Linked DNA regions of Nothobranchius furzeri. The protein of the gene in region 1 purifies or fractionates together with the protein of each later gene. This does not show direct contact. Links are inferred from orthologs where the notes say so. Each region holds a gene or a part of one and is shown in the gene's direction. Other genes may lie near its edges.

Region 1 (11,649 bases):
GACAAGTAAAAAAAAAAGTGAGTAACGCCGAAGCTTAACGACATCCCTCAACGGTGGCTAGCTATTGTAATTGTATGGTGGTTGCTAAGGGAAATGTTCACAGCAACAACCTTATTGGGGGTTGGTTATGAGAGATGATCAACAGCTGTAGGAACCAATCACTTTTCGAGAAATGTCAAATTGTCCAATGAAAACTAAAGAAAGTCATCGTCATCAGCTCGAGCGTGAGGCTAGCAGCGATTTCTAGAATCTCTTCAAAACTCCAAGGATTGGAGGAACTAATGGTAAGTTAAATGTTATTCTCGTAATTAATTTGTCATTTTGATACGTAAGGGTCGTTTTTTATCATCAGGTTTTGAGCGGGACTCTTGTTTTTTGTAGCAATCATCGTCTAGCTAGCTGTCAGCAGCGTTAGCTACCTGGCAGTGTTGACTCTCAGCATCACTGCTCTGACTCCTTCATGTCTTTTTGTTTTATCTAGTGTAGAATTGTGATTAATGAATGACATTTGTTTTCTAACTTTTAATTCAAAGCTTAGAGACAGAGATCATCCAGAACTTTCCTATTTCCAGATTCAGCATGTAAAGTCAGCCTATCTAGTAACATGGACAAGTACGAAAAGGTGAAGAAAATCGGGGAAGGTTCATTTGGAAAGGCTATCCTGGTGAAATCCAAAGAAGATGGACACCAGTATGTCATCAAGGAGATTGGCATATCTGGTGTAAGATGCTTTGCATAATTCACGTTTTCCATGGGTGAGTTACCTCCTCATGTTAATCCATGAATTTACATGAGTTGTATATAATTTTATAGATGTCAAGTAAAGAGAGGCAGGAATCTCGCAGAGAGGTTGCTGTTCTTGCCAACATGAGTCATCCCAATATTGTCCAGTATAAGGAGTCTTTTGAAGGTATTTACATAATTCAGAGTTCACCTGTTGTGATGAAATACAATAATTGTACTACAATAATCTGTGTGTGTGTGTGTGTGTGTGTGTGTGTGTGTGTGTGTGTGTGTGTGTGTGTGTGTGTGTGTGTTTAATATCACTTCGAATTTTTAGAAGGGGGATGTTTGTACATCGTGATGGATTATTGTGAAGGTGGAGACCTTTTCAGGAAGATCAACTCTCAAAAAGGAGTTTTGTTCTCAGAAGAGCAGGTAAGCTTTGATGCTGTAACTCTATGGAGTAATTATTTTTGAATAGCTGTGTTTGTGTTAAATGAATTATGCGATGGTGATTTCTGTTTTGATACCTCCTTGTTTGGTTTGCCCTTTTTCTGTCTTTCCAAGATCTTGGATTGGTTTGTCCAGATTTGCCTCGCTCTGAAGCATGTACACGATCGAAAAATCCTCCACAGGGATATTAAGTCACAGGTACTGTTTTCTGTGCATCTGTGGTTTACAGGCTATTTATTCTATTATTTATTTGTTTGTTTAATGTTGTCAATATGTCTGCACAGAACATATTTTTGACAAAAGATGGGACCGTACAGCTTGGTGACTTTGGAATTGCGAGAGTCTTGAATAGGTGTGTTCAGTGCCTTCTGCTGATTTTCGTAAGGACAACATTTAAACTTGTTAAGACAACAAAAACGTTGTTCTCCTCTCATTTTCAGCACTGTTGATCTTGCGAGGACATGCATAGGAACACCATATTATTTATCACCAGAGATTTGTGAAAACAAACCATACAACAACAAAAGGTAATGGATGAGTTTGAATCAACAGTGTTTCGGTGTTTCCTTCATTTAAAGAGCAAGTCACGCCCAAATCAGCTTTTTTTGTCTTCTAATAAATTATCAATGCATGTCTAATCGCGCTGCAGACACGTGTCGTCAGTAGTTTTGCACTTTAGTGCATTTTAGTCTAAATTTAAATTTTCTGCCTAAAACTGTCAGTGTTGTGCCGTCGTCAGGTAAAAACTCTGCACTGCATTTGAATTTAAATCTGCCATCGCTATTGGCTAAGAGGTACCCTAGAACGTTAGCTGGTACCATGTGATGTCACAATGTCGTTGTGAGCCTGTGTGTGTATTTATTAGTGGCTTCGCCCCCTCGGTCTGCTAGGCAACAGCATTTGTTGCATTTTTCAAACAGGAAGTGGGAGTTGAGTTAGACTCTGGTAGGGGTGACTTGCTCTTTAAATTAGAACCTCTTAGTCCTCATATCCGCACTCTTAACAGTGAGTTCATGCAGGATTGTGTTGCTTATTGGTGATGTCAGCATGGTCACCTCGTGATACTTATACTGCAGAAAGCTAATACTGTTTTCTTCCTTGCCTGTTTTAGGTGTTCATGGTGTCTACTTTAGTCATTCTAACTATTCCAGTGCTTAGTCAGGAGTTTTCACATAGGCCCCAATCAGTTTAACATGCATTAAATACTATTAATAGCCTACTCTGTGAACGTAAACCTTCCCTGACTGCCATCCCTGCCTGTTCATGTGTACCTTATTTCCCTACTGTCCTTCCTTCTGCAGTGACATTTGGGCCCTAGGATGTGTCCTCTATGAAATGTGCACTCTTAAGCATGCAGTAAGTATTTGTGTGTAAGCTGTTCACATATCGGTGCACATTTTAATGCATTCTTTGTAGTCCTGCAGTGTTCACTCATATATTCTGCTCTTGGCTGCAAACACTCTGGTTTCAAATCTGACATTCAGAAATGTCGTGCTGTTGATTTCCACTCTATTGTCTTAAACATGTTCATTCATTATACAAATAGTCGTGTGTGTGTGTGTTTCCTTTTAGTTTGAAGCTGGCAACATGAAGAACTTGGTCCTGAAGATCATTCGTGGTTCATTCCCTCCTGTGTCTGTTCACTACTCCCAAGAACTGCGGTCTCTCTTGGCGCAGCTGTTTAAACGAAACCCCCGAGAGAGGCCCTCAGTCAGCAGCGTACTGGACAAGCCTTTCCTTTTCTGCAGGATAGAGAAGTTTCTCACACCACAGGTAGATTTGATTTTATCTTTTACTATGCTTTCTTTGTCTTTATAAACCAAACTTTGGTCATTTAAAAAAGCTTGTCTCCCCCCCCCCCCCCCCCCCCCCCCAAGATCATCGCTCAGGAATTCCGCCATCATTTTCTTCACAAGCAGCCTAAAGTGGGTTTGGCACAAGTGCCATCAGGTAGGTGAAGTTGTGCAGCATTGCCCGTCTCATCCTCTCTAATGTTACCTTATTGGATAAATTTAAAATCGTGCACAATGTTGCCTTACTCTTCATGACGTTAGAGTCCAAAGGTTTTTGCTATTGATGTAATCAAAGACAAATAACTAAATTGGGTCAGAAGGTCTGAAAGAGAAGCTAGTGGACATGAACTAAGTAAGCTTTACAACCAGTTGCCCGAATCTCAGTCTGTTGTAAGGTGATGCTTTGACTTCTGGAACAGTTTAAAGTTCAGTTGTCACAGTTGCCATGAATGGCATTTAAAACCTGTTGGTAGGGAAACAAATAAACAATATCTCAATCCTCAAAAATCACCTGGAGAAGAGAAGAAGAATAAATTATAAGGAAATGTGCTTCAGTGTCCATCACTGAAAAGATCTGGAATCGTGTTGAAGGCCTAGGTTGCTCAAATGAATGCAAATCCCAATCTGCCTTTCGCGGTTTAAACATAAAACCACCTCGTGTTGAGGGAGTAAATACGTTCAAGCAGTTTTTGTCAAATCTTAAACGACTGTCCGTTATCATAAGATCAGGTAGACGCTGAAGTACATGTGGTAAAGGATGCTCAGCTGTTGTAGACCATCATCTGTAAAATTGACTAAAGCCATGCTTTCTAATATCCTGTAGCTGCGACCGCCATCTTGAATCAGGCTGATGCAAAAATGTAATTTGTTATAGATGCAAGTTCAGGGATTTTCTTCTGTGAGTTTAATCTAAATCGGTTATTTTGTCAGCACTACATGATCGAGACATGAATGAGTTTGCTTTGGTTTTATTAAAATGACAACGTGTGTGTGTGGGAAATAATTTAATAACTTCTAGCATTGTTCCTTGTCCTATCCCTCAGATTTAGCATGAAGACTGCAGTGAGTCCTAAACTCCAACCAACAAGGTGTCAAAATTCACACCACAGCCCTGAAATGAACCAAAGCTTTACAGTAATTGCTATGGTGATGCGTCCCACAGAGGCATGACACAGCTTTGTGAAACCTCCAGATGAGTCTGGAGTTACCGCTGTCGGACTTTAATCCTGCTTCATGACCCCGACCCTTGTCTTCACTCAGTTATGCAGCTGCTTGCTTTAAACCCTATTCTGAAAACACAAATACTGTAATCCTTAAGAAAGGTCAAATTCAGAAGAACTACGTGTCACATTAAGCTACGTGGGCTAGTCCATGCTTTAACAGGTGTGGACATGTACTCGTCTCATCCACCAGGCTGCAGCAGTCGGCCGGCGCAGGACAGGCAAACTGTGTTACACCTCATGTTTTTAGGGATATTATGTGTACTGTAGTTATTGTATGTTATGTGCTGTGAAAGCAAGCTGTTATTGTTTTTTTATTTGACTGAATTGCTTCTCTTCTTTTCACACTCTGATGCTCCAGCCCAGAAAATTACAAAACCAGCTTCCAAATATGGAGTGCCTTTAACTGGAGCCAAGAGCTCATCGGAGAAGAAATCTGCTGTAAAACACAAACCGGTCAGTCATTTTCTTTAGGCTGATCAACGGTTAAGTTCATTGTCTTGAATCTCATCCGGCTCCCATGGGCCTGTTTCTGAGTGTTGTGGCATCACACTGTGCCGGCTAACTCTGAAGCCACATGTCGTATGTTGCTCAGGCCCCAAACCCAGCAGCCCCTCAGAGGAGACCGAGTCAAGGGGAGGAGGAAAGGAAAAAACACGAGGTACAGCTGAGCACCCGTATACCTTAATCCCCGTTAGACCTCCCTTCGTCTTCTATCATTCTCGCACACACACACACTTGGGTGTCCTGTTACCACCACTTTCAGTTTTCCCCTCGCCCGTTATGCGTGATTGTCCCATTTTCCACTCCAGACCAACACAAGTGCTCTGCTTGGATTAGCTTTTTCATTAAGCACCTTTCCCTGTGACAGAGCAGCCCTGCAACCTCAGCCGTATTTTCTAGAACATATTTTGTGTGTGACGCCTGTTTTCCTCTACAGGCGGGAATCGGAAAGAAAAAGATGGAACAGACGGAGAAAGAAAGAAAACAGAAAGAGCAGGTGAGCATTCAGTTTAGTTTCTTTGTATTCATTTTTTATTTATTGAGCTTTGTAGTTTTCTACTCTCTGCTTTCCAGATGTTCCTGTTGAAAGCAGAGCAAGTGAAGAGGTATGAGAAGGAAAAGGTGAGAAACTGCTTTTCCTACAAGCTAAGGTGGAGTCGGATAGCTTTGGGCTGAAATGTGGCTCAGCTTTATATTTTACTTTCACTAACCCTGACCACAAAAGCCGTGATATGATTCAAGCTGAATGAAAAGTGAAAAATGGGATTTCTTGCAGATCAGTCGTATAAACCAAGCCAGAGAACAAGGATGGAAGCATGTACTGGGTTCGAGTGGAGGTAGCAGCCCAGAGAGGAAGGTAGCTTGCATAAAATGTTATGTCTGTGTTTAAAAGCTCTGATTTATTTAACTCAAAGCAAATGTTTGTGTCCAGTGTTTAATGGGGGGTAAGCGCGCTGCAGGCGTTGCCGCTGTTGTCCGAGGCTCCCATTTGGCCCCAGCTCCAGCCCCAGCCCCCATCCCTAACAAGAGGCCGTATGAACACTACCACGCTGCTCTGGATCAAACGGCTAAGTCACAGTCCAAAGACCGCAGCAGGGACGGCGCTTCAGCAGGACCTGGCAGTCCCGTTCAGTAAACGCATGTTTTTCCACTTCCTTTACTGCAGTTTGGGTTGTATCAGATAAATGTAAAAGCTTTGTTGGTGTTTTTCCAGTGGTGGTGTGGCTGCTGCAGGCCCAGTGCTGTCCAACAGCCCCACTCAATGCCTGAATCATGATGTCATCAGAAGAGAACTACAGAAGTTACAGCATGCTTCAAAACAAGCCCACATTAGTCGGTGAGTTGAGCTGAAGCGCATGCATCTCAATAAAAAGAAATGATAAATGCATTATTTGCTTCAACGTTCCAGTGTTCTGTTTTCCAGGCTGGGCCGGGCCCAGATGGCTGCAGAGCGGACCTTTCAGGTCAAGGAGTTTTTACAGAGGAAGAAGGAAGCCATGCTTAATAAAGTTAGAGCTGAAGGACAGCTGGTACGTAGGAAGGCACCGTTCTTATGGCTGACCATCTTTTTACTCCTGGGCTCAGAAATGACCCGTTGTGAACTGGTTGTTAGGTTAGACACACAGGGTTTGGAGGTGACGTCTATATTTGACACGTGTTGCTGATATTTAAACATTAGTGTAATATTTTAAACTATTTTAAAGATAAAAATGACAAAGAATGTGATCTCTTTGTTTTATTAAGGTTGTTTTAGGCTGAAACCTTTAAGAAGGATCTCAATTCTTTGAGACTGAAGTAAAAATTCCTTCATTTCTTTGCGCAGTGGCGCAGTGGTTAGAGCTGTTGCCTTGCAGCAAGAAGGTCCTGGGTTCGCTTCCCGGCCTGGGATCTTTCTGCATGGAGTGGGCTCCGACGTCCTCCCACAGTCCGAAAACATGACTGTTAGGTTGATTGGGCTGTCCAAAATTGGCCTTAAGTGTGTGTGTGTGTGTGTGTGTGTGTGTGTGTGTGTGTGTGTGTGTGTGTGTGTGTGTGTGTGTGTGTGTGTGTGTGTGTGTGTGTGTGTGTGTGTGTGTGTGTGTGTGTGTGTGTGTGTGTGTGTGTGTGTGTGTGTGTGTGTGTGTGTGTGTGTGTGTGTGATTACAGGATAAGTGAATGGATGGATTTGTTTGCATTTTCCTCTATTCATGTGCAGGGTTAGGGTTAGGCCGCAGCATGATACTGCCACCCACTGCTTTAGTGTGGTTTTGCTGTGATGAAGAGTCCTGTCATCAAACCTATTTTAATGATGTATGGAGCTAGAAGTTGTTCTGTAAACAATAATTCCATTTTATACATTCTTTAGAGTTAAAGGTTACAAATCATGCTATTTTAAACCTTTGAGAGCAAAAATAGGCACAGTATAAAATATTACTGTTGGCAATTTTGAGATGTCATTTATCTTAAATACAAGTTATTTTCATCAGCCTGAATTTAAACCCAGCGATAAAAGGCTTTCAGTGAAACTCCGCCCATGCCCACTCTGACAAAATGTCCGTACCACAGCGTCTTAGGCGAGTCCGTGGGTGTATTGGTTATGGAAGCTCGGTGGTTAAGGCGTCTGCCTGGCAGCTCATTTGTGCCATGTGCTGATTTCAGTTCGAGTCCTGGTGGAGTCTGCGCTGATTTACTTAGCCAGCTGAAACAGATTTCATGTTTTTATATTTTAATCTTATGGGTTATTTTCTGCAAAATATTTTGTGTCCAAACATTTTAGAATTTGGTCGTTTCCCAGCAGAGTTTTAGTTTACGTACTCTGCTCACCTCACATGGACTCACGCTGGTAACGTTCTTTTTATTTTATTGTATTTTATTTAATTTTTTGCTTTCTATGCTCATTTATTAGCCTTTATATTTTAAATAGTTTAAGTGTTGAAATCATAGTGGCAAGTGTAGCTAAAACAATGATCCAAGGTTGGTGCTCGGATCGGGATGTGCGCCTGTGCAACGCTCCATGCCAGCCTAGCACTCACACCTGTGGACCACCACGTCTGTTACATGATGCCAGTCTCCTTTAAGGCCCATGTCCTGTGCTGGCCAGGGCAGACGGGTTTCAGACCAGAGACTAGCTTCTGGGAGAGGAGCAGAGCCTGATGATGAGATTTAGTTTCCACTGACGTGTTATGGGATTTTCAAATTAAAACTCAAAATTTGCATTTGAAACAGGAAAGTGCATCAATGCAGTCAAAAGCATGTTTTTTTGTTTTTATGAGGAAACATCAAATCATAAAATATTACTATCATTATGTGCAATAATCATTTCGATTATCTTCATTTACAATTATACTCTCGTGTGATATATTTTGTGCTACTGCTGTCACCCTCTGTCCTTGAGCTGCTGCAATAAGGCAGTTTCCCCACTGAGGGACCAAAAAAGCTATTCTTACTCTTAAAAAGCTCCAAATACTGTGAGTGCTTTGGTTGTTTGAAAAGCAACAAATCCAGTAAATCTAATCCAGGATTGGTCTACTTTTAGTGCTGCTTTAGAGGGTTTGGTGTGATTGCACCTTTTAATTAAATCTAAGGTAATTGTGAGCTGAGGGTTAGGGCTGAGTCTTATTTTATGGCTTCATAGCAAAGAGGTGAATACATAAGAGCACTTTCTAATAATTTACAAAGTACTTTTTTCTGTGTAGACGTAGAAAATAAACTAGGTTTAATTTCTGATTATCGTGCAGTGTTAAAGGGGTTGAGGTGATTACATCCATCAGTGGGTGGTTAATTTGAGCCGTTCTCTAACCATGCTTGTTAGATGTTAGGACCTTCACTTTCTAAAGCGTGGTTACATTGAATGCTGGACAGGGCACTCGACCACACATGGCTGCCATCTATGGAAGCTGGGCCAGTACAGCTCGGTGCCGGCGGCCCAAAGTCAACCGAGAGGAAGAGGTAGGAGCCCGGACCTGAATGCCCGGCTTTACGGCCCGTCTCACCTATGGCCCGCCCAGTTTGTCTGCACAAACCTCCCTTTGACAAACAGTTCAGTCACGTTGGCTGTCCAGTGTGAGCTGGTTATTTCAACCCAGCAGTGGCTGTTTTCCATTTCAAATACTCATTCCAGTTTTGTAATCAGATTTTCATTTGAATTTAACGAATGCCTTTTTGTGGAATTCTTGTTTGCAAGTGTGACCCGTGCACTAATTTCATGAGTTGCAAATGCATGAGTTTGTGTGCATGCGTGAATGGATGTATAAACAGGAGTTTTTGCATCCATTAGTAGTAAACTTCAACATGGGTACTTGTTCTCAGGAGTACTTGGCAAGACTCAGGCAGATCCGACTGCAGAACTTCAATGAGCGTCAGCAGATCAAAGCCCGACTGAGAGGGGAGAAGGTACTTCCTACACCTTTATAGTCTTACCTGTGCCTGTAATGAAAGCAGCTTCATGCTCTCAGACTTCTAGGCTCCCGGTTATAGTTGGTGTTTGTGTTTTTTAGTATGACAGCGATGGCTCTGATAGCCAAGAATCTAGTGAGGAGGCCGAGCTCAGAAGAAAGAAAATAGAGGTTTTAAAGGTGGGTATGCATGGTGTAAAGCTTCTGACCTCAAGGCTTACGCGGTGGCTCTGATGAGCATTAGAAGGTCTGAGGTGTACTGGGAAAGGTTTGACCCTTTTGTGTTTGTTTGTTTATGTTTGTTCCTGTCAGGCTCAGGCCAACACGCGAGCCGCTGTTCTGAAAGAGCAGCTGGAGAAGAAGAGACGGGAAGCATTTGAGAGGGAAAAGAGAGCTTGGGACGACCATGTAGGCTTCATGATTTATTAAACACAACATCTTTATTTTGCTCAACTAAAACTTTCACCGAACATTTTAATTTAGTTAAGTTTAATATTTGTGCTGCTTGTCACTGAAGCTTGCTGCAGCTCGAGGTGTGAAGTTGGGCATTGTAGCAGAAGCATCGCCTGTCTCTGACCTTCGACCTCCAGAACCTTGGGACCCCCAGCAAGGACACACTGCCAAAACATCAGCCCAGCCCTCATCCTCGGCTATATCCATGACTGCTGCTCTGAAGAACGTCGGAGCCATCAGTGTATGCGTACATAATACACACACTGTTTGAGCCTGCAGTTGTTGTCTGTATTCATTTAGTCCCTTTTGTTCAGCAGATTAGTCCGCTTAAAGAAAGCTTGCATGAACCAGAGACAGCAGCAGCGATTCAGGTGTTTTCATTTATTTTCCTCTACATATTCAAACAAAATGAATTATTTTGAACCAACCTTCATGTTTTCTTTCCACCAGAGTGAGAAGAAGCAGATTCTAAACAGACTCAACCAGAACCTAAAGGCACTGAACCCGGTGGACAAGATGGAGTCTCCACCTGCACCTGCAGAACCAAGTCCTGATGTCCAGCAGAAGCAGTCTGACGCTGAGAAAAGTCCCACTTTGGATGGTGACCGGAAGAAATGGGAAGCAGCAGAGCTCCCCGCTCTGCCTGAGCCTCCTCACATGTTAGAGGAGACAAATCCCACGACGGACAGTAAGTTTAGACTGGAGATAGATTTGATCTTTCTGTGCCATGGTCAAGCCCTTCCAGATCTTCTTCAGTGCAACTACTCAAGTTATTGCAATAAACAATACGTTATACCACATATTCATCACGTCTTAAATGACACTCACTCTAAACTCCATATGTTATCCTCTTCAGCATCACCAGAGGACAGACCTTCCTCTGCTGGGGACAGGAAGAAGTGGGAGGCAGGTACTCCACTTGTTTTCCCAGCAGCGCAGCAAACCCTAGAGGAGACGTGCATCACCACCATCAGTAAGTATCTGCTAAGAGTGAGAGGAAGAGCACACTTCCTGTGAACCGTTGCTGTATTTTGTTGTCCGTGTTCATCATCTCTCTGCACGTGGTTCCTCACAGATCAAACGGTGGGGGAGGTCATAAAGATGGGTGAACTAGAAGCAGAAGCTCCCAGGAAGGTGTGGGGAGCGAGTCCAGTGTGTCAGGTGCTGAGAGTGCTTCAGGAGGCCAAGCTGCAGTCTCTCACCCAGCAGCTGGACTGTGCCACCAGATCTGACAACACATTTTCTGTTTCTGGTTAGTTTTGGTTAAACTTTGTTATCTATGCAACACAAAAGCAGGAGTGTTAGAAATTCTTAGTTGCAATTTGTTGAATTTTGTTTTTAAGGTCTTTCCTGCCTTTAAGTTGTAGCTTTCAACAAATCGACCCAGAATATAGTTTTGCTAGAAATAAACCACGGAAGGAAATGGCCGTCCTTGGCCCAATATAACTATAGACACATTAGTGTGTGTGTGTGTGTGCGCGTGTGCGTGTGTGTGCGCGTGTGTGTGTGTGCGCGCGTGTGTGTGTGTGTGTGTGTGTGTGTGTGTGTCTTCTCGATCCCCAGTGAGTCGTGGAGGAAGGCTGCTTATACTGAGCCAGGATTCTCTGGAGGTTTCTTCCTGTTAAAAGGGAGTTTTCCTCTCCACTGTCGCTGCATGCTTGCTTAGTATGAGGATTGCATCAAGTCACTGACACTAGTCAGTGACTTGATGCAACCTGCTGGGTTCCTTATATAGGAAACATTATTTCTGATTGGCTTAATGAACTGACCTGAATTGGAATGTTTATTATGGGAAGTGCCTTGAGACGACTCTTGTCGTGATTTAGCGCTTTATAAATAAACTTGAATTGAATTGAATTCATTTAAAAGACATTTGGATAATTATAGTGATGGCAGAGATGCATTTGCATATATTTAGAACCCATAAAGAAACCATTACTAAGGTCTAATTCATGCTAGCAGTAACACATCTGTGTGGAATATTTAGGTCACAACTAAAACATTCAGTTAAGTCTTAGATTAAAAAGTATTCTGTTGTTTGAGACTAATCTGAATCAGCAGGAGTGGAGACGATACTGGCTCACAAAACTAGCAATGGTGCGTCTAGTGATACACACATGCCACAAATAC
Region 2 (12,000 bases), on another chromosome or scaffold:
CACACGTTCAAAAATAAGCAGTTTTGGCATCGATATGCGTCTTTAAAATTCATGGACATAACTAGTGAAATCCATAGCACATAACAAGCGGTGTTAGAAAATAGTGTTTTTTTGCCTCATTGGCTTGCATTCATTTTTTCGTTCTTCCGGGGACCCATGGTCCGTAAATAGATGGGCGTGACTTAGGCTCCCTATGCCATCTGCTTTCTTTTATTTGCAATGCAACTAAACTACAACAGAAGTGATTCTCTACTTTAGTTCACACACTGCTATTTTACCGACTGATATCAGTTTAAAAGTCCAAACTCTCACAGTCAAGCGGTATTCACAATCAGTCACCAACTTTAGAAAATATGACCAAACTTTCAAATTAATTGCATTTGCTCATACCAAGACGCATGGTTTGTATAATGGAATAAATTGATGAGCTATGTGTTTTGGACTGAATTAATTTGATTTAACAAATCTAACTGTTTTTTGTTTGTCAATTAATGGAAATACATTTCTGAACCTGCATAAAAGCCCCGCCCCCAGTTTGATTGACAGCAACGGGCAGCTTTCTCCACACAGTTTATGCTAGACTTAAACTCGAAACAGGAGACTGTCAATAATGCGGGACATGAGTTTCAATTTAGGGGACGTGAGAAAAGTCATAAGAATGCGACTCTACCGCTCTGGTCGCCATAGTGACGACACACTACAGAGCTCTGTTTGCTCCTCTGCCATTTAACAGAGAGAGGGAGAAAAACCCCTCACTGGATATACTGCGATACAGCCGCACTCTTAACCTGAAACTCGCTAGAATAAACGGAGTAGGAAGTGACGCCACCATCAGCGTCAGCTATGAGGATGTTTTGCAGTCCGCAAACGAAACTGTCGGCAAGGTAAAGACAAACCTTTCCTGTGTTTTAAAAAAGAACCAAAAATGGAATTTGAAAGTCTCTAGCTTTGGCCCTCACCTGTTTAAGCTGGCTTTTGTATGACCTTCTTCACCACTCCTTATTCTGCTTTCCCTACCTATTCCACCTTCCTCAGGATCCACAGATTTTCCTCTTTCCGATTTTCTCTCTCCCTCTTTACAGTTTTAATCAAAACTGCCTATTTTTGCTCTTGTAAACATATTTTAATCATTTTCGATTTTCTTTTTATATTCTAAATTTTTGTTTTTGTGATTTTTATCTTTAGAGGCGCTACAGAAAATATCTTTTTCTTCTTTGGAGAAACAAATCTTTACTTTAGAATGAAACATTGGTAAATCTAGCAACAAAGACAGATGGACACACTGGGAAGCAGAACTGTTCTAAGCAATTTGATTGGTTGGTGGCGTCACATGGGACGCTGTGCTGCATGCAAAAATTAAAGCAGACAAGTGCTACAGCCCAGTACCCAAGGAGGAAAAAAAATTCCAGGACATCTTAAACATTTTCAGGACATTTTACATGACTGGAAAATTTATGAACCATTTTCCAGGTTTTCCAGGATGCGTGGGGACCCTGTAAAACTGCTCGTCTTCAATGGACGAGTTTGTTGTGCAATATTAGTTTGTGGCAGGTCTAGATGAAAGAAAGAGACCAAACAGGCCCCATCTTCTCCAGAGTAGGGTTGAGTAGTATTGGTTATCATCCTGACACACCCAGAAATAGCAACAGTATTATAAGTGTGAATAAGTTTAAATCTTAGTTACATTTGCATACTTCCTGTAAAAACTGCTATTGTTAATCACGTAGCTGTATTATTTTGTTGCATAGATGCATGGAAGCATTGTATTTCAACGTAAACAGAACCGGTCATATTAAGCCTTATTCCACCTTTCCCGCAATCCACCAATTTCCCTCTTTCCTATTCGTTTTCTCTTTCCCTTTCCTTATTTTCATTCACATTTTTTTTTTCTCATTTTATACATATTTAATCTTTTTTTTGTACTTTCAATTTTTTTTGTTTATGTGAAGAGCCTCATGATTTTAATCTTGAGAGGCGATATATAAAATATTGTTTTCTTTCTTTCTAAAGGTGTCTGTACTTCAGTCCCTGTGAAGTCTAACAGAAAGAAGCTTCCAGAGCTCTGCACTGCTCCAGCTTATTTAAACAGCCGATACCGTTTAAATAAGCCAAACTTACAACCCGTGGTTTTTCTTTTACAATATAGTTGCCGGCCGGGACTCTGTAGTAATTCCACATGCGATTGTGACATCACCCTTAGTTGCGCCAAGGCGTAATTCACAAGTCCAGTGTTGTGCTAATATTACTACCAAGCATGGTGACACTAATGTCGCAAAATCCCTGCATCGCTGTGCCGCCACGGCGCTCTCATAAGACACACCATGGCAGCTGTATAATACTGATTTGCCGGTATGGCATGCCTTCTAAAAGCGACTATTGACCGCAAAGCTCCCACAATTAGCATCTGCACTGACATCCAACAGTGCAGAGTCAAGTTGGAGCTAGGAGCAGACAGGCTGGTTTTATACATCTGTACTTGTCGATATTTGTCCTTAGCAAAGCCGATTTAAAGTCAGGCACATCCTCAGGCAGCCCGGTGCTGCTGCAGAATTTATTTTTAATGTATTTTTACATTCACTAATAACTTCTGCGTAATAAATACTCTAAATTAACTTTATTTAGATGCCTGACTTTAGTTAAATTCAGAGTTAAACAGATTCAGCTTTAGAAATTGTGTGCATCAACTGATGTTAGTGACATTTTAGCATGAAATTAAGGTGGAAAATTAAATCAGCATTAAACATTTGCCATTGGCTTACCATATCTCCTATATATCGGCATCAGTAATAGAAAAAAGCTGGTCGACCTCTAGTTGGAACCTGAGAATGGTAAACTAGGCAGTACTACGGTTGTACAGCAACACACGCAATGATGAGAGAAGGAACAGAAAACTGCAGTTAACTAGGCATTCTAAAAGGCTTGTCATGGTCCACTAAAGTGGTGTAAGTAACACCTTTTGCACAAAAACAAAAGTCTGCACAGACCTGAAAGGCAGGTGGGTAGAAGAAAACTGTTTAAAACTGTTTCTTCACTGGGCTAAAAAATTACTACTAAATACAAAGATTCTTGAAGTACCTTTGAACTTGAAATATATCATGATAATTTGTAATTTTTTGTCATTTAACTCACTTTGATTTGTGTATAGTCATTAACAAAACAAACGAGCGTGTTTAAATTAAATTAAAAAAAAAAACTATTTCAAAATCGTTTTTAAATGGCCTAAATTGCATTAAAAAATGCCTATGCAGATATAACTGTTTTAACACCAGGATGGCTTAGTGACAATAAAATGTGGGACTAGTTTTTCAGAAAGTGAAGATCTTTCACAACTATCCTTAGGACAGTTTTATGATCTGCAGAAAAAACAAGAAAGCGGTAAAGGAAAAAAAGTGATACATACTTGTACGTCCAGGCACCACCAGCCACTGTCTTCTTGCAGGACCCACAGTGCCAGATACCGACAGCCCTCCTCTTCATCTTAGTCTACAAACAGAAACATTTTTGTGAAATTTCTCGAAGTACAACACTAACATTTTACTACACAGTTCAGACTTCATACCAACATCTATGCATCAAGATCACACTCTGCAAAGTTATTAATATCAAAATCACACAATTATAAACCTTGCCTTGCCACAGAAAGAGCAGGTATATTTCGCGTGCTGGGAGATTTCAATTTTCTTCACCATTTTCCTCAGCGACGCGCCATAACGCGTGCCGTATTTACCAACAATCCCCACCTTCTTGGTGCGTTTGGCCTGAAGACAAAACAAAATAATATCGGTTACATTCCTACAGATGTGCCATTCGTAGGATTGATTCCGTCTTCACAGATTAAGAAATTTATAACATAACACAAACTACATTAAAGTGCTAAATTTAGCTAAGCAGAATATACATGGGAACAGGTTTCATCTGAGGTGTGTAGACCTTGAGTGAAACTACCTGATCAACTCAAGCTTCCCCACAAATTTCATTTCTAGTTACGAAATTTCCGGTCAGTATGAACATAACTACTACTGTAGAACCATGTCGCTTCATATCGCCGTAACAGCAGTACCTACTGAAATGTGCTTAATGGAGAATTGGGAAGTGAGACAGTAAGCCGAAGTGACTAGCCCACCCGGTTAAAAAAGCTATGGCGGCAGCCATTTTTGTCTCAATGGGACATTAAAAACATCGTTTCTACTGCCATAATCTCTAAAATCACGCAAATAAGCATAAGGATTTACTAGAAGGGGCACCACAAAGCCTTCGAAGGATTCACCGTGTCACTCAAAACACGGGAATCATAAGATTGACAAGGATTGTTCGGGAGAGAGCTAACCTCACCATGGTTTCTGTAGAGACGTAGGTCCAAAGAGGGAGTACTCACTGCGCAGGCGCGATTTACTCAGTCCTTCTCGGGCATTGTGGGACTTTGAGTTTTCTTTTGAAGGAAATGATTTTCAACACAAACGTTAGTCTTACATTTTCTTTTTACATAACAATTCATTTCTATAGTATTGACTATGTTTCATGTTACGCCTGTATGACAAACACCTCAGACCAAAAAAAACAAACAGTAAGATGTTTTTTTCAAGGCGTAACTAAGGACGCTTCATTAGCTGGGCGCATGCGCATTCACGGTGTGTGGAATACACTTCTCTGAGGCTGAGATGATACGTTTGTCCGTCCACTATGTCATTATGCGACCTTTGTTCGTTGTTAAAATAAGCATACGTAATTAAAATATCCTTATTTTTGATTAAGATTGGTGAAATGCCATGAAGCTAACACGGAAGCTGATTCTTGCTAAAGCTAAGGCCTCCGACTTGCAAAGTGTGAGGAAACTTAACTGCTGGTAAGTGTCTAAATGTCAGGGCGAGCTGTGAGTTACTGTCTTTTTGCTCTACATTGTGGTAACTTTGTGTGTGTGTGTGTGTGTGTGTGTGTGTGTGTGTGTGTGTGTGTGTGTGTGTGTGTGTGTGTGTGTGTGCGCGTGTGTGTGCGTGTGTTTGCAGGGGATGCAGCCTGACAGATGTAAGTGATTTTTCATTTTTGATGTAAATCTGCTCTCTGCTTTGTTACAGTCCATCATACCCATTGTTGTTGTATGAGTTCATGAATGAGTGTCTCTTTTTCAGATATCTATTTTCTGTCAGGTACCCAACATTGAGGTGCTCACACTGAGGTCAGTTTTTCTTTAATTTAGAACGTTCCTTTTAGTTCTGACATGATGGTGGCACACCTTTAGGTCTTGTGATGTTTTCTCTGCCTGCAGCGTTAACAGCGTCGCATCTCTGTCTCCTCTGACTGGTTGCCTGTCGTTGAGTGAGCTCTACCTGAGGAGGAACATGATTCCGTCCCTCTCTGAATTGTGTCATTTGCGTCCGCTGACACGTCTCAGAGTGCTCTGGTTGGCTGAAAACCCATGCTGTGGAAATGACCCGAGCAAGTATCGCCTCACTGTGCTGCGCTGTCTCCCTCGCCTCCAGAAACTCGACAATCAGGGTGATTTTATGATGCTGCTGCACATCTTCTGCTCAGAATCACATGCCATAACTTCTAATAGCTCTTAAAAGGTGTTGTTTAGTTTTACTTTGAATCTTTAAAACTTCCAGCCTAGAAATGTAGACCAACTGTAGCAATGGCAAGAGATTTTGCTCTGCATATATAGGACGCCAGGCTAGATAACTGAAGGTTACAGAACAATCTTTGAACGGCTCATCTATGAATGACACTCCGTGTGTGCAGTGGTGACTGAGGGTGAGATCGCACTCGCTCTCATGGAGGGTGAAGAGGTCAGTACACCTCCAGGTAGTGTCCAGAACCAGCTCTCCAACAACGGACTTCCAGAAGCAGAGACAGAGAACGATGCACTTAACTACAACATGGAGGAGACCAAGTGGGATTTAATTGTTTTTAACCAGAACACAACAAATAAACAATATACAAACAATTTGAGGCAATAATAAACCTTTTGTTGTTGTTGTTTTTATAGCAAAATCAGAGAAGAACTGGGAATGAAGCCTCTCTCCAGGGACAAGTTCTCCTCTCCTTCTTCTCCATCCATCATTGAGAGACCAACAATGAGAAAGGTAGCATTTGTCAGTAGCGCCATTTTCAAACCTCATTGTGTTGAATCTGACTTAAACCTGGAAAACCTGAATGCTCTGTCTTTTCAGACTCATACACTTGATGCAGTTCTGCTTCTGTTGAAGGACTTGGATGAAGAGGAGCTTCATATTGTCCACACAGCCACACAGAACAGGCTGCAGACGTACACACTGGACTCGGGAGATGTTCAAAGTTTTCCAGCTCAAAAAACTGCAGACATTCAACACTAGCCTGTTTCACAGCATCAACTCCAACGCCTCAATCCCTTTTCCACTTCAAACCGCCGGATTCTGAGGGACGGAGATCTTTCTGCATGCAAAATGCACCACATGTAATTTTCATTTCACTGCCACTTTCACTTTTGTGAGACTTTATTTGCAGCATCATAGCGGCATGCCTACATGTCTTGAAAGAACAAAAGAATGTATGCTGTGCAGAATGTCTAGATCTATTTCTGTAAATAAAAACTGATCCAGCTCTTTTGGGAAAGCATTTAAAGTCCATCATGCTGTAAGTCACGCATAAATGGTTTTATTGGTTGCCATAATGGAATGGTACATGGCCTGTATTTGTATAGCAGCCCAGTGTGAAGCTGCTGGGATGAAAAATAATCTCTAAATCCGATACCATGATCTTGAGTGGGTCAAGGGTAGAATGCCTTCTCCAGAGCAGGGATGAGGTCCTGCCTGGAGGAGTTAAAAGTATTTTGGGGTCTTGTTCACGAGTGACGGAAAGATGGAGTGTGAGATCAATAGGGGGATTTGTGCTGCGTCTGCAGTGATGCGGGCGTTGTATCAATCTGTCGTAAAGAGAGAGCCGAGTCCCTCCGACCACCACCAGCAGGCAAGGTGGGTTAAGTGTCCTGCCCAAGGACACAACAGAAGCATTCTCTGTTGGGAGCTGGGATTGAACCTTCAGCCATCTGATTACTGGACAGTCTGCTCTACCTCCCAAGCTACTGCTGCTGAAGAAGCTTCTCATGGGTAGACTGACATACAAATCCTCCCTCAGGCTTAAACTATTTGATTATTATATTATTTTGAACCAGTAAGTGTTTTTCTCATGAACAGTAAAAGATAGCATTTTAGAGCATTTTTTCCATGAACGTACTAAAATGTGTAATCCAGATGAAGTTATCTGAGGTTTTCTTATACTCTATATACTTCTACACTGCAGAGCCGCCTCAGTATGCATCTCTTTTGGAAAAGTTTTTTTTTTTACAACTTTTGCATACAGTAGATCTGGACCTGACCACCAGACTAGAATATATATAGACAAGAGGAAGAGGTTATGGGAATCCTGGACCAGGGGACCACCAGTCTGAGTTTAGTCTCTCCCTTCACCTGGGACCAGTTTGTTAGTTTCGGGTGACCCAGCTGGGAGCAGAACCCTCCTGGCCAACATAACCCTAAGGATCATAGTACTCAACCTCCACCAGGATAAGATTGTGGCTCAAGAAGGAGTTTAAATGTTAAAATGTAATTATTGCTGTTAGAGTTTGGAGCTAATTGTACCTTTGTGGAAAACTTCTGATGAAATGTTCAAATCCAGTATCAACATTTTTCTTAGGGATCAACTAAACTAATTTTATTTTCTCTAAATCTAGATCTAAAAGCTCAGTGAAGGTTCTGTGTTCTAGATCAGTTTTAAAGGATGATGCATTGATGACCTTTCATATTCTAATGCTAATATTCTAATATATATTTGCATAACATAATATATATGCAAACTTTGCTAAGCAATAATTCGGTCTAGTTCACTAGGCCTACTTGAACACAGTTTTCATTGTATTTTATTTTTCTTGTTGATGTATTATTTTGTTTGTTTTAACTGATTTTAATCCTCTGGGACTATCGTGGATTTTGTTATTGTTTATGATCACCCTCAGTTAGGTCACTGTTGTTTATTCTAAACATGCTTTGTATGTACAGATTTACCACAATAGTCCATCTGTTTTAGATACTTTTAAAACCAGGATGATTGCCACATCAGAGTTACATATTCCTCTGACAACAGTAAAGCGCTAGACTGAAATGTCAAAGGTGGAAGGTATTTGAAAGATAGTCTTGTGTCTGTGTCTCTAAGCCAAGCAGTGGTGGTTGATCGGAGCGTGTATGTATCAGGACAGCTGGGGATGGATCCGGTCAGCGGCCAGCTGGTGGGAGGCGGTGTTCAGGCCCAAACCAGACAGGTGTCATCGTCCATCTGCTGATTTCACACCCGCACACCTGAGATGTGGCTATAGTTACTTTAGTATTCTGGAAAGTAACTTTTTTAGCATGACTTTACTTTAACAACCAGTGTTAACCAGCAGCTGTGTGGGAAAACATTCTTTACAGTAAACCAATGAATGATGAGTGAATGAATGATCTAAAACAACACAACAGCTGCTCTGCACAGATGTAAAACTATCCAAACATTCAGTCGTATGAACAAAATAATCCGCTAAGTACGTAGCAGCTGCTCTGACTGTGCTTTGGCTTTAAAGTGTCACCAGGATCATGTTAGCTCTTCATGGGACAAAGTTCAGGTCCATGTGTTGCAACAGTCTGTTGTGTTTTATTCCTAGGCTCTCGTGAACATGGGGGAGATCCTCCGAATGGCTGGATGCACTTATGAGAACGGTGAGGCGATCCTCTGTGTAGAAGCCATTGTTCTGCAGATGTTCTTCATGCAGTTTACTTTTATTTCTGGCAGTTGTTAAAACCACCGTGCTTCTCGCTGACATCAATGATTTCTCAAATGTCAATGAAGTTTACAAGCAGTGTGAGTATGTTGGCTTCCCCTCTATAGATAAGAGCTGTTGTACAACCCTGACCGCTGCGTGTCAGCACAAACTAGCTATACCACAAGTCCCATTTATTTAGCATAAGGAGCCTTTAGATCTGCCCGCTTTGCCCATCTTTCCTTAGTTTACTCCATATATATTTTTATATTCCCTACTTCTAAATAAAGTGATGTTCTGTCTGGAAGAGTTTTTATGGCTCCATGCTGATGTGAGGAGAGATCACCACATGTTGCATAAGCCAGTTAAACACCAAAACCAGAGATGATTCAATGTTACTGTAGGGTTAATGACCTAAACATAGGAATTAAAGGCCATTGCTATCAGCTTATATTTTAATTCCTAAGATCAAACAAATTGACGAATGAGATTATATATGGATATATAAATATAATAGCTATAAATTCATACACCAACTTGCTTGGTCTATGTTTAATCAAAAGATTATAATATTTATTTTTAAAGATTTAATTTAATAGCAAAGATTATTTGTTAATTCAGAAGATCTAAAGATCTTTGCCTGTTCAGTGATCAATGTACACCCACTCTGTGTTTATTTCAAGAAAGAGTCAAGTTTAAGAAGGTTAAGAAATTTATTACAAAACAATTATAAAACATGACAATTTATAAAAGACTTTGATATTAAAAAGACTTTGGTATTAAAAAAGCAACCCTGTGTTTGGATGAATCTAATATGAAGTGTTTGTTTGCGGGTGAATCATGGACGTAATTTTGGGGAGGGACAGGGGGGACATGTCCCCCCCACTTTTTCCAAAGTCAAGTTTTGACCCCTGCAATTTTTATCATCCAAAAACTATTACGCTATATTAAATTGGCACTGGTTGAGCTCTAGGACCAAGCGGAAAACAACCGTTTGTGTTGAAGCCTGTTTCCCATTAGAGCATACTGTCAAGACCCCCCCCCCCCCCCCCGTGTCCCCCCCACTTCTAAAGTGAAAATTACATCCTTGGGGTGAATGCAATGTCTCAGAACGTGTCTGGCGCAGGTGTGTTCTCTGGAGGGCCCTCGGTTGACGCTGTAGCGTAATGTTTTATTGACGTTACAACTCGCAGGTGCAGTCAGAGATCAGGGTCAGCCAGTGTGGTCACAGGGTGGCATTCAACCTTCCCCCTGTGGTAGGCGAGTCACCAACGTCAGGTCTAGAGGTCACTAGCACCAGCTGTAGGAGTAGGGTCAGTGATGTTGTCAGCCCCCCCCCTTCGGCAGGTGGCATCCCCACCGCAAGGTACTGGGCTTCAGCTGGAGTCTCGGCGCCACCATCAACTCCCCCTTCGGCAGGTGGTGTTCCCACTCCAGTGTGCGGAGTCTCAGGTGCAGTGCCACTGCAAACTCCCCTAGGTTAATGTTGGTTTATGCTTGACGCATCCGCGAGGTTGCGTAATTTTAACAACCACGCCCCTCCACAGCGCCTCCGCACTGCCCAAAATTTCCGCACCGCGCTCCTAGGAAATTTTCTAACCATGCGGACGGTCGGACGCGGAAAAACAAGGCGGACTGGCAAGAACTAGTATGGCAGAGGTTCGTAAATACAGACATTTGTATGATTCAGCTCTCAAAGATCATCGCAATCAACACGTTGTTAATAATTCTTGGAGAGAAATAGCTCGCACTGTCGGAAAAGACGAGGACGCTGTTAAAACATGCTGGAATGACATGTTGTAAACAACAGTAATTTTTACTTCTACTTGCATGCCGTAGAGCTCTATGCTGCCCCCTACAGTTTGGGAGAATATTAGCTCACCGCAGAGACAAGCCGCATGAACCATAAACGCTGCAAGTTGTGAAGCGCGTTCCATCCGCGAGCCGCATCACCAAGCGGAAAGTGAATGCGTCAAGCATAAACCAAGCTTTAGGTGGTTTTCCCACCCCCGAGTGAAGCAATCTTGCTGCAGAGACGACACAGACTCTGTGGGTGTCACTGACCTTGGAGGCTGTGGATCGACTGGTCACTCTGACAGCGCCGTTGTAGTTAACAACACCTAGAGAGGGAATGACACGAACACGAAAGAGAGCCCATAGCTCAGGAACGGAGTCAAGCTTGACAGGAGAAGGCAGATGAGCTGTCGGATCAGAAAGGTACAGGATCATCCTGCTAATATCAGAGTCCTGGGACTGAAGACTGACAAGGTTGTTTTCAGAAAAGACAGGAAGAACAGACTCAAAACCATCGGACGGTCGAGAGGTGGACGCGTTAACGGCCTGAGCTCAAGTCACGACACACACACGGGGTGGGTTTGACCGAGAAGACACACTGTCAGGGAGCCACAAGGGGTTAAAGGACCATGGGGTACCAACAGCTGCACCTTGTTTGGCAAGAGAGTCTGCAATCAGATCCTTATCAGTTCCGGGTACACGAGAAAGACCTTTGACTTCACGCCAATAGATCTGCATGTCATGTGATGTCGCTAGGGTTATCACAAGCCATGAAGAGGTCTTGATGTTTAACGGGCTTCCGGTTAGAGGTTAAGAACCCGTTAATTTTCCAAGAAGGTAAGGGAGGTGGTGGAGGACCTAAACTTGGAGATGGCCACAGAAAAGGAACGCTCAGAAAGATAGGAGGAGAACCACTCCAGAGCAGTTCCTGATAGAACTGCCCAGTCTCTCAGCCTCTCCAGTAGCAGGTGATGGTCCACAGTGTCAAAAGCTGCAGTCAGGTCCAGCAGGACCAGAACAGAACAGTCCCCTGCATCATTAAGTCAGAAGGTCATTAGAGACCCTAAGAAGAACTGTTTCAGTAGAATGAGCTCTACGAAAACCTGACTGGAAGCAATCATAGATGTTATGTTCATCAAGAGCTGCTGTGAGTTGTTTAGCCACAACCTTTTCTAAGATCTTGGAGATGAACGGAAGTTTAGAGATGGGTCTGAAGCTGCTATGGAGAGAGGGGTCAAGACTCGGTTTTTTAAGAAGCGGGTGGATTACAGCGTTCTTAAAGTAAGCAGGGACCTGATCAGAGACCAGAGAAGCATTAATTATAGAGAGCACGCTGGGACCGATGGACTGAAAAGCACTTTTAAACAAAGATGAGGGTAAGATGTCAAGGGGGCATGCAGAGGTCTTCATAGAGTTAACTAGTTTGGTTAACTCTGGCAAAG

The links.
Region 2: the proteins of nek1 (region 1) and cfap410 purify together in Homo sapiens (affinity purification with mass spectrometry; 3 studies listed by BioGRID and IntAct, with this or other methods). This does not show direct contact. The link is inferred for Nothobranchius furzeri from reciprocal best matches to the Homo sapiens genes NEK1 and CFAP410.

Annotation. Positions count from the first base shown.
Region 1 is NC_091748.1:39,058,713-39,070,361, forward strand, and holds the start of nek1 (serine/threonine-protein kinase Nek1), read left to right. Parts: upstream 1-144; 5' UTR 145-284; intron 285-572; 5' UTR 573-604; coding exon 605-721; intron 722-813; coding exon 814-910; intron 911-1,060; coding exon 1,061-1,158; intron 1,159-1,290; coding exon 1,291-1,374; intron 1,375-1,460; coding exon 1,461-1,528; intron 1,529-1,616; coding exon 1,617-1,703; intron 1,704-2,477; coding exon 2,478-2,532; intron 2,533-2,748; coding exon 2,749-2,949; intron 2,950-3,053; coding exon 3,054-3,126; intron 3,127-4,550; coding exon 4,551-4,645; intron 4,646-4,784; coding exon 4,785-4,850; intron 4,851-5,129; coding exon 5,130-5,189; intron 5,190-5,266; coding exon 5,267-5,314; intron 5,315-5,468; coding exon 5,469-5,549; intron 5,550-5,624; coding exon 5,625-5,824; intron 5,825-5,906; coding exon 5,907-6,029; intron 6,030-6,116; coding exon 6,117-6,222; intron 6,223-8,533; coding exon 8,534-8,620; intron 8,621-8,980; and 16 more. UniProt on the Homo sapiens protein: Phosphorylates serines and threonines, but also appears to possess tyrosine kinase activity. Involved in DNA damage checkpoint control and for proper DNA damage repair.
Region 2 is NC_091751.1:63,969,080-63,981,079, forward strand, and holds cfap410 (cilia and flagella associated protein 410), read left to right. Parts: upstream 1-4,623; 5' UTR 4,624-4,669; intron 4,670-4,752; 5' UTR 4,753-4,766; coding exon 4,767-4,843; intron 4,844-5,003; coding exon 5,004-5,022; intron 5,023-5,126; coding exon 5,127-5,173; intron 5,174-5,263; coding exon 5,264-5,493; intron 5,494-5,736; coding exon 5,737-5,887; intron 5,888-5,983; coding exon 5,984-6,080; intron 6,081-6,167; coding exon 6,168-6,329; 3' UTR 6,330-6,590; downstream 6,591-12,000. Other genes in the region: rpl37a (large ribosomal subunit protein eL43), read right to left, coding at 3,401-3,483, 3,630-3,758, 4,333-4,335; 2-iminobutanoate/2-iminopropanoate deaminase-like, read left to right, coding at 7,390-7,466, 8,185-8,290, 8,669-8,723, 8,797-8,966. UniProt on the Homo sapiens protein: Plays a role in cilia formation and/or maintenance. Plays a role in the regulation of cell morphology and cytoskeletal organization. Involved in DNA damage repair.